Linked DNA regions of Caenorhabditis elegans. The protein of the gene in region 1 interacts with the protein of each later gene in a biochemical or structural test. Each region holds a gene or a part of one and is shown on either strand. Other genes may lie near its edges.

Region 1 (4,584 bases):
CTTAAAAATTTGAATAAATATATTGCCCACGCAAATGTATATTGAACACACTGCATGTTTGCACTTTGTTCGTCATACAGAAAGTGAGACGACGACGACAATGAGTCATTCACTTTTTTATGACAATTCGAAATCTAATCTCTTGTGTCTCGAAGCGATTTCCTTAGAAGTTTTAATTTAAGAAACTACCTTTTATTGTTGTTTAAAAAACCATGATCCCCCCCCCGTGCAACTCGTTTCCGGAAACGGTCTCCATCAGCCTGTGTTTCGTCACTCTCACCCCTTCCCCATTTTTTGTTCCCACTCGGAAACTCTTTCTCTCTCTCGGGTTTCTCACTGTAACGATGGCCGGCACAACAGACAATGAATTTTGATATTTTTGTGTTTTCTGTTTGCACAGTTATTAGAGCATTTTCCATTTTTTTCGCGGGGTTTTCACAGTTTTTTTTGTTTGAAAATTAAAACAAAAATCATGAGTTCAATCAAAAATAATTATTTAGTTTTTCAATTATAAACGAATTTGGCAAATTTTTACAATGTTTTCCATTGATGGGCAATATTTTTTTAATGAAAAAAACCTACAAAAATACCAAAAATTTGAATCAAAAAAGTAATTTTTGATTCATTGCACACTTTTGAGCTCAAAGCAAAAACAGCACTTTTTTTTTCAAAAATTTTACCAAATTTTGAAAATAATTTTTTACGGATTTTTAGGTGTCAAAAAGTGTTTGAAAAAACCAAAATTTCTCAATTTTTGAAAAAAAATTGTTCAAAAAATATATTTTTTCGATTTTCAGAAATTTCTTTTTAAAAAAATCGATATCACACTTTGCTGAAAAAATATTTGCAAAATCTGTAAAAAAAAAATACAAAAAAACTTTTTTAAAACAAAATTTTTCCCAATTCTAGAAAAAAATCATTAATTCCGACCAACGAAAAATCGATAATTTTTCGATTTTTTTTCAAATAATTCCAAAAAAAATTTCTCGATTATCCTAAAAATCTTAAAAATCGATTTTTTTTAAATTGATTTTTTTAAAAATTTTCTAAAAAAAAATTTCCCGCTTTTTGAAAAAAATTCAAAAATTCTTTAACAAATGTTTTCTCCGATTTTCTGAAATTTTGAAAAAAAAACTAGATTTCTCGAAAAATAGCTTCAAATTTGTCCATTTTCCTCTTTTTTCCTCTTTTTAGAGATCAAAATGAACAAAATTTAATAAAAAGTTTAAACGATTTTTCCAAGGTTTTCCAGAAAATCGAAAATTCAATTTTCTGAAAAATCGATTTTTTCCCCTCCCCGAACATTTTTCCCTATAAATCTCGTTCTTTTTTTCGTCATAAAAAATGCATATTTTTCTGTTTTTTCCCTTCTCACATTCTCATTTTTCAGCCAAACCTCCACCAAAAAACTTCAAAATTTTTGCCGTTGCATTTCGAATGCGTGAAACACTGACCGATTGCTGTTGCTGCTGCTGTTGACAAGACACAAAATCTGCCGTAAAAGTGCACTTTTTTGAGCAAAAAGAGCAAAAGGAGATTAGATTGCACTTTTTTGAGCCAGAATGAGGTAATAATGACTATGGAGATGGGGAACTTTTTATGGGAAAATTTGAAAAAAAATTGAAAAAAAAAACCAAAAAATTGGCCTAAAAATTGCAAAAGTTCGGCCACGAGCTTGTGTCGATTTACGCAGCTCGTGTACTTCCCGAGGAAAAGTGTGAATTTTATGTTTTAGGCCAGTTTTTGGCGCTAAAATACTTGATTTTTGACCATTTTCGCTAAATTTTGATCGTTTTCACGTATTTTCGTTGTTTTCAGCATAAAATTATAAAAATTTTGAACAAAATACTATGAGTTATTGATAAAATCGCGAATTGAGTGTAAAAAAAATTTTCAAAAATCGATATTCTCCTCGTGGAGTACACGAGCTCCGTAAATCGACACAGAGGAGCATTTTTTTTCAGAAAAAAATTTGCATGCTCCTCGGGGAGTACACGAGTTATAAAATTTATTTGCCAATTTTTTCGTGCTGGGACCTAATAGGAATGCTCCTTTGAATGCAGACAATTGAAAAAAAACTGTTTTTAGCAGAATTCCCTTCAAAATGAAACCAACGACCAATCAGCGATTCGCACCGCCCACTTTCTAACCAATCAGTAGCTACAAGCATTCTGATTGGTTCAAAAGTGGGCGGAGCGGTTCGCTGATTGGTCGCTGTTCTCATTTTGAAGGGAATTCAGTTTGAGACTATTTTGGGGTTTTTTGAAGCGAAATTTTCATTCACGCTACTCTCCGCACGGATTTCTGGCTTCCCTCATAAATTGAAATGGAAGAGTTTTCCGAACTAGGCCATTTTGGCTCGGCCATATCTGGGGTAGATTTACGGCGCGTTGCGTGTCTCGTTGCGGCTCGATTTTAGTTGTAAAGCTAAATGTATTTGTCCGTGTGGAGTACACGACACTTTTCCACGCGTTGTCCGGCGGACGATTGTCAATGTAGCGCGAAAAATTCAATGAGCAAGGCCAGAACCCCCGTGTCTCCGCGATCTACCACCCAGCAAAAATCCATTTTTTGACTGATTCACAGCGTCTGACTGTAATGTTGACACTGAAGCTCTCTAATGTTTTTTTTGTGTGTGTGTGAGGTGATGCTGTGTGTTCCTATTTGCACAAATACCTAGTGTCCAGCAGAAGGAAGAGAACTGGATGAGCAGTGAAAAGAGCCCGTGCCAATTGCTGCCACTTATCATGTCCGGCTCGACCTCCGAGAGAGGGACGAGACTAAAATTAAATGAAATGAGAAACAATAAAAATTGAGTGGAAATTTAGAGAGTGATTGGATTTTTTTTGTAAAGTGGTGTAGTCGATTTTTTTTTATTGCTTTATTAGACTCAAATGTTTGTTTGAAAACACCGATTTTTTAAATGAAACTTCTTGAAAACTTCTCCAAAAAAAAAGTTATGACCGCTCGAAAAATGACCTAAAATTAGTTGAAATTTGAAATTTGAAAAATGCCGCAGCGGCTGGAAACAATATTTTGGAAAACTCCCGACTTTATTATACCTAAATGAAGTTGAAAATGCAAGATAATTGAATTGCATACTCAAAATTTGAAGGTGATTTCGAAAAAGTTAGTTTCCAGTCGCTGTGACAAGTCAAATTTCGAATTTCAACTAATTTTAGGTCACTTTTCAAGCCGCCATAACTTTTTTTTGAGAAGTTTCATTATAAAATTCGGTGTTTTCAAACAATTTTGAGTCTAATAAAGCAATAACAAATTTCGTCTGCAACACCACCTTTAATCAGATACCATTATTTAAAGTTTCGAAAATCTAGTAGGTTCGCATATATAAGTGGTCGGTTCTATTACATCTGAAAGAGCTCAAAATTCGCAACTTGTGCAAAAAGTTGATCCGAACCTTTTTTAAAAGATGACAAAAATCTCATTTTTTACCTTCTTCAATTTCGCCAACTTTCGAATTATCGAAAATATTCTCAAATTCCCTGAGAATGTCATATTATTAAATTGCGAGTGAAAAAAGTTACAATTCCACAAAAACCGCATTTACTATGATGATAGAAATTACTTTTTCACACTTTTTACCTCGATATTAGTCGAATTGCCAAACATTTTCGATTTCCGGCCACCGAAAAAAAACCAACTTTTTCTTGTCATTTTTGAAACAAGTATATTTTGAAAAAATGATTTTTAGTGCAATCATATTACATGTGCACGAAATTCGGAGAATGCGTAGTTTTTGTGTCGATATACGAGCTCGGTTCGATAAATCAATTAGTTTCGAGCCCGTAAATCGACACAAGCGCTACAGTAGTAATTAAAAAAATTACTGTGGTTTTCGGTACGAGATTTTTTGCGCGTCAAATATGTTGTGTAATACGCATTCTCAGAACTTAGTTTCATTTTTTCCCACCAAAAAATTCAAATTTTCCAGTAGCGAAGCATGTATCGCGACGGCAATGGCCCGAGTGATGACCTACAACGAATCGACAAAAGGATGGGTACTACTCGGCGGAAATGATGATTCAATGACAAATGTTCGCCTAATCCAAGACATTCGGCGACCCGAGTTTCGGATTGTATCCAACCGCGCTGACAGCACGAATATCTTGAATTGTAATATTTATCGAGGAATCAAATATCACAAGGCCACACCAATGTTTCATCAATGGCGTACCGAACAGCGGCGGGTGTATGGGCTGAATTTCGAGAATGAACAGGATGCGACAATGTTTTTAAGCATTGTGTTACAGGCGATTGAGACGTTGAAAGTTCATGATATGAATGGAATTAGTGATTATCAACAGATGCATCGTGCGTTTTTCAAATATAGCTTTCACACGACAAAAATCCCAAGATATAAAAAAACCTAACCAGAGATAAAAATCGAAAATAAAAAATTATCGATTTTCCGGAAAAACGAAGCATCATAACATTGTATAAAATTTATGTTTAGTTTTCATCAGAAACACATCAGAAAACGTATAATTTTTTTGCTCATTTTTCTACAATTTTTAATTTTCCGACACTACTTGAATAACCCCATAAATTATCAAAAAATCATCA
Region 2 (4,576 bases), on another chromosome or scaffold:
GTGGACGAGGAAAGTGGTAGAAGACTTGAGAGCAGGGAAATGCTGTAAAATGAATGGAATTTATTGGGAATGCTTTCATGTTTACATAAACGAGAATGCATTCTTTAAGTGGATCAATTTGAAAAATGGAACACATCAATGGAATTTAGAAATTTGTTGTGTTTCTCTTAGAAAGTAATTTTGTTAGAAACCTCTCCAAATGGGAAAAACTCAAATATCATAGTAAATCTTTTCAAAAAACTTGTCTGAATTTTTAATTCAAATTGTGTTGTGAAAACTTAGTTTGCACCTATCATAATTTCAAGTGTGGCAGATTTTTGTTTCTATGAGTTTTTATACTTTAATTGCCTTTTTTTTTATTTGCATATATTGCTCTATTTCAACATTCTGAGGACGAACCAATGCTCGAAATTACTTAGAATGCCCATATTTTTGGAACATTTCGTAAATTACCAAAACATTGAATGTAAGTTTTTTAAAAATTGAAAAAAGGGCTTTTCTGAATCAACTTCTCTATTTTGAATTCACATTTAAAATTGAAAGAATATTTCAAGTTTCTAGAATTGAAAAGTAGATGGCACTTCATAAGAAAAGAAAGAGGAACAGGGAACAATCTGCCAACATTTTTGATGAATTGCTCCCAAACAAAGAGTGAACGACAGCATTTTGATGGACAAAGAGAGAGTCAAAGGGGTCAAGAAAGTGAACATACTCTACCATGACAAGGCTGTTCTCTTCTGGTGATTCAAAACTGAAAGGTTTGAAGCAATTCGAAACTGACGGAAAGGACACGCTCCGGTAAAAACGATGAATGAACATCAGAAATGGAACACACATGGCAACAACACGGACCGATGAACACCTGGCTAGCCACGAGGATTTGCCGGATTTTCGAGGATTTTAGTTAGTTCATAAACAAATTGGGGTTTGGATGGTGTTAATTAGAAATTTTTTGATAGTTTTTTGTAGAGAGGGCTTGAAAACGTTATTGAAAATCCATGTGAGCTATATAAAGTTTTTTCAACTTTTTGATAGATGATTTTCTGGTTAATGTTTAATCTATGACTTGTATATTTTTGTTGTTTTTTCTATTTTTTCTATTTTTCACAGTACAAAATTATTTTTAAAAAATCTATTTAGAGATTCAGGAGAAATGATATCAATTTTGGCAAACTTTCATAACTTTTAGACGCCATTGCGAAATTTTACTAATGGTTATTGAAAAATAATCGTTTCGCGGACTTGAAGTTATGTAGCTCTTTCTTTCTTGTCATTCTTGAAAAAAATTCACCAATTTTCTCCGTTTTTCTTCCAACTTACTTAGTATCTTGGTTACCTTTTCCTAGACCTCCCCGACTTTCAAACTTAATTAGACCACACTTGCAACTATCTTTAAAAATTCAGAGAATTTCACTTTCATGGCCAAGAGCAGCAATAAAAGTCAGAAAAGTGAAAGAAAAGAGAAATAGAGTGCAACACAGAAACAAGAATGGACAAGAGAACGGACAACCCATTGTTTCAGAATGTCGTTCCTTTTCTCTGTGTCTCTTTTGAATTCATACACATGTTCCATGAAACATGCTCGCGCACAGATTGAAATGAACAGAAAGAGACGAGGAAGAGTGCGAATGATTTATTCATCAATGCTCTGGTATGTTCAGAGCTTTGCAACAAATGAAAAAGAGCACAAATGGAACATTTCTGAATAATATTGATTCGTAACTTAACTTTGCTTCATAACTTTAGAACATCTTGAAAAAATTGCACAAAAAAGAGTTTTGTCTGTCGTTTGGGAAGTAGAGTTGCGTTGTGGAGACATTATTTTTCCTAGGGCTGAGTAAGGCTGAGTAATCTAGTATCCTACCAAATAATTTAGATAATTTTTTAAAAAGGCTGCGGTTTCTTTGGAGAAATTACATGAAATAAAAAGTTCTGAACACTTCAACACACATTCAAAAGTTTTGTTACATTCCGATCTAAGCTATAAGTCATATTTTTGGAAAACCAACAAAAAATTCTGAACGAAAATCCAGTAGGTTTCAAGGAAAACCGTACAGCCAACAAGAAAAGATCATAGAAAATCACATCTGGATGGCCTTCCGTTCTATTTCTTTTGCCGGATTGTCACTAAATCATCTGCGAATGATAAATGACCGTAACCAAAGAAAACTAATCAAGTGTATAGAATACGGGAAATGAGGTCATTGGAAAAAAGGCCTAACTGGAAATTAGGCTGAAGCTACTGCTAATACTAGTGTTACGAAACACGACAAGAAAAAGTAATCAATTCAGAAGCATCGCCAATAAACCAACAAATAGAACATATAATCAAGTTATCTGAATGCACGAGATAGGCGTAAAGGACGTACGAACATGCCAGCTTAGAGATTATAGGAAATTGTGAGTCACAGACAAAAACGCAAGTTGAGATAGCAATCTTTTGCTCGATGAGGGTGAAGGTCCGGTCAACTGATGACCACTAAAGATAGACACAACATACTACCAAAGCTTTATAAAAACGAATAATTGGAAAAATAGGAAAATTTGTTAGCGATAAGAAAAATTTGAATTATCCAAATGTGAATGTAAAGATAGCCTGCCAAATTTGAAAAAAAAACGCATCTTTGTGAACATTTTACAAAACTACAATAAAGATGGTTTAGCTTTTGTCAAAACATACCAACAAAAAAAACACTATAATTTTCGAAACACTAAATGTTTTATGATTTTTGGAAAGTTTTATTTTTCCGTTCTTCAAACTATTCAGTGACTCGATTTTTTTCCAAACCTTTTTTCTATAAAATAAAAAACTTTACCCATTTTCCATTTAACATCTAAACGTTTCAAATTGGCTAAGATCAAACGGCAAACACTTGAAAAGTGTGCATAAGGTAATTACGAGAAACCATTTGGGAGTCAAGTGTTTACGGACCACTGACATTTCTTTGGTTACCACAATAAGAACTCACCACTTTTCACCAAAAAGTTGATCTTCTTCGTCACTGTCAACTTCCAGATCGCATTCCTCTTCGCAACTGTCCATATTGGCTGAAATTTTGGAATTCAATCTTGAATAAATGTAACAAAAAGAAAATGGATCTTCTGAGACACAAAGTTTACCGGAAATGTACATGTAGCTTTGTTTTAGAGTTGAAACTTGAGAAGTCGTATAAGAAAGAAGGAAAAAATTGGAAGGGAAAGGAAAACTTTAAGGGGTCAAAAACCTTTTTTAAAGAAAAAAAACTGAAAAAATTCGTCAAATCAAAAAATCTAGCATCAAAAATTGCTCGTTTTTCGACTTTTAGAAATATCCAAAGTATTTGCCCAAACTTGCGCAAATAATATTTGTATACTAAATTCTGAATATCTAGTTTTCAATCAGCAGGAAACAGACTTTTATTGAATTTTTTTCATAGATTTCTCTAGTTTATTGTCACAATAAATCCACTTTTTCTAGTCTTAAAAATATGTATTGTATGTAGAACAATCTTTTTATTCTCAAGTTAAAAAATTATGAACCCTTGCAATCTAGAAAAAATTCAAAACACGACTTGTCAAGCTAATCCAAATAAAACAATAACAAAAACAAAATTGAGATTTCCGCTCTCTAAATACCGTATTTTCCTATGTTTGAACCACACTACTCTACATTGACGGCTTATATTTCAGTGGTTTAAGCTCAACGAAAAACTGTTCAACTATACAAATATAGCAAATTATTTGACACCTACTTTTACAGTTTAAAATGTCTCAATAAAATATAAGAAGACCGAGATATTTATGAGTTGTTAAAGTAGAGCAAAGTGATGCAAGGCCAAATTTGAGTGTGTGGTCTAAAGTTTTTAAGACAGAAGGAAAACCCAATTGACCACTAAATAATCTACACCAAATTTTCTTCCGTCTCCTCGAAAAAACAACAACATCTGCATAAAAAAGTGATTGACCTTCCCTCTGTCGGGATCGTTGCTAACAAAGTGCAAAAGCGATGATACAAGTCAAGGGATACCCCCCTCCCCCGCACAACAACAAGAAAGAATAAAAAAGAAGGCGGGGACAGCAAAGAGGGACACATATATCTCTTCCGCGCGGAAAGAAAGCGGCAAAAACGTACTAATGCGCGAGAAAAGAAGCAGAAGAAGCATATAATGACCTTTTTATGATAAAGTCTCGTGGGACAACCGGACCATCAATATGGTATTGAGTATAGAATATGCAAATTTTGGTTGAATAGAAAAACGAAGAGAAAATGGAACAGAAGGAGAGTTCAGAGTGCGCAAATAATGGAAGGAACGCGCGTAATCTGGAAGAGTTGACATAAAAAATAAGAGGATTATTCATAATTGAGTCGCTCGGCACGATACGGTAAGGAAACTATAATGAAGAAGATTACAAGACAATCAAAACTAGAACTTTTAAAAAAGTTTTCAGAAAAACTTGGTAGCAGTAAGGTAGTTATAGGTAAGTAAGGTATAGAGCACATTCTGAAGTTGGAAATTTCAAGTTTTTTTTTTTTTGAAAAAAAAGTGAAGTTTCTGCTGAAACCATAGAAAACTATAGTTCAAATTTCCCGAAAATA

Evidence for each region.
Region 2: the proteins of unc-34 (region 1) and mig-10 interact in far-western blotting, tested with the Caenorhabditis elegans proteins (one study listed by BioGRID).

Annotation. Positions count from the first base shown.
Region 1 is NC_003283.11:981,144-985,727, forward strand, and holds the start of unc-34 (WH1 domain-containing protein), read left to right. Parts: upstream 1-1,562; coding exon 1,563-1,567; intron 1,568-1,667; exon of another isoform or gene 1,668-1,763; intron 1,764-3,952; coding exon 3,953-4,332; intron 4,333-4,584.
Region 2 is NC_003281.10:8,277,575-8,282,150, reverse strand, and holds the start of mig-10 (Abnormal cell migration protein 10), read right to left. Parts: upstream 3,044-4,576; coding exon 2,970-3,043; intron 2,507-2,969; exon of another isoform or gene 2,415-2,506; intron 1,713-2,414; exon of another isoform or gene 1,576-1,712; intron 43-1,575; coding exon 1-42. UniProt on the Caenorhabditis elegans protein: Required cell non-autonomously for proper development of the excretory canals and for the long-range anterior-posterior migrations of embryonic neurons CAN, ALM and HSN.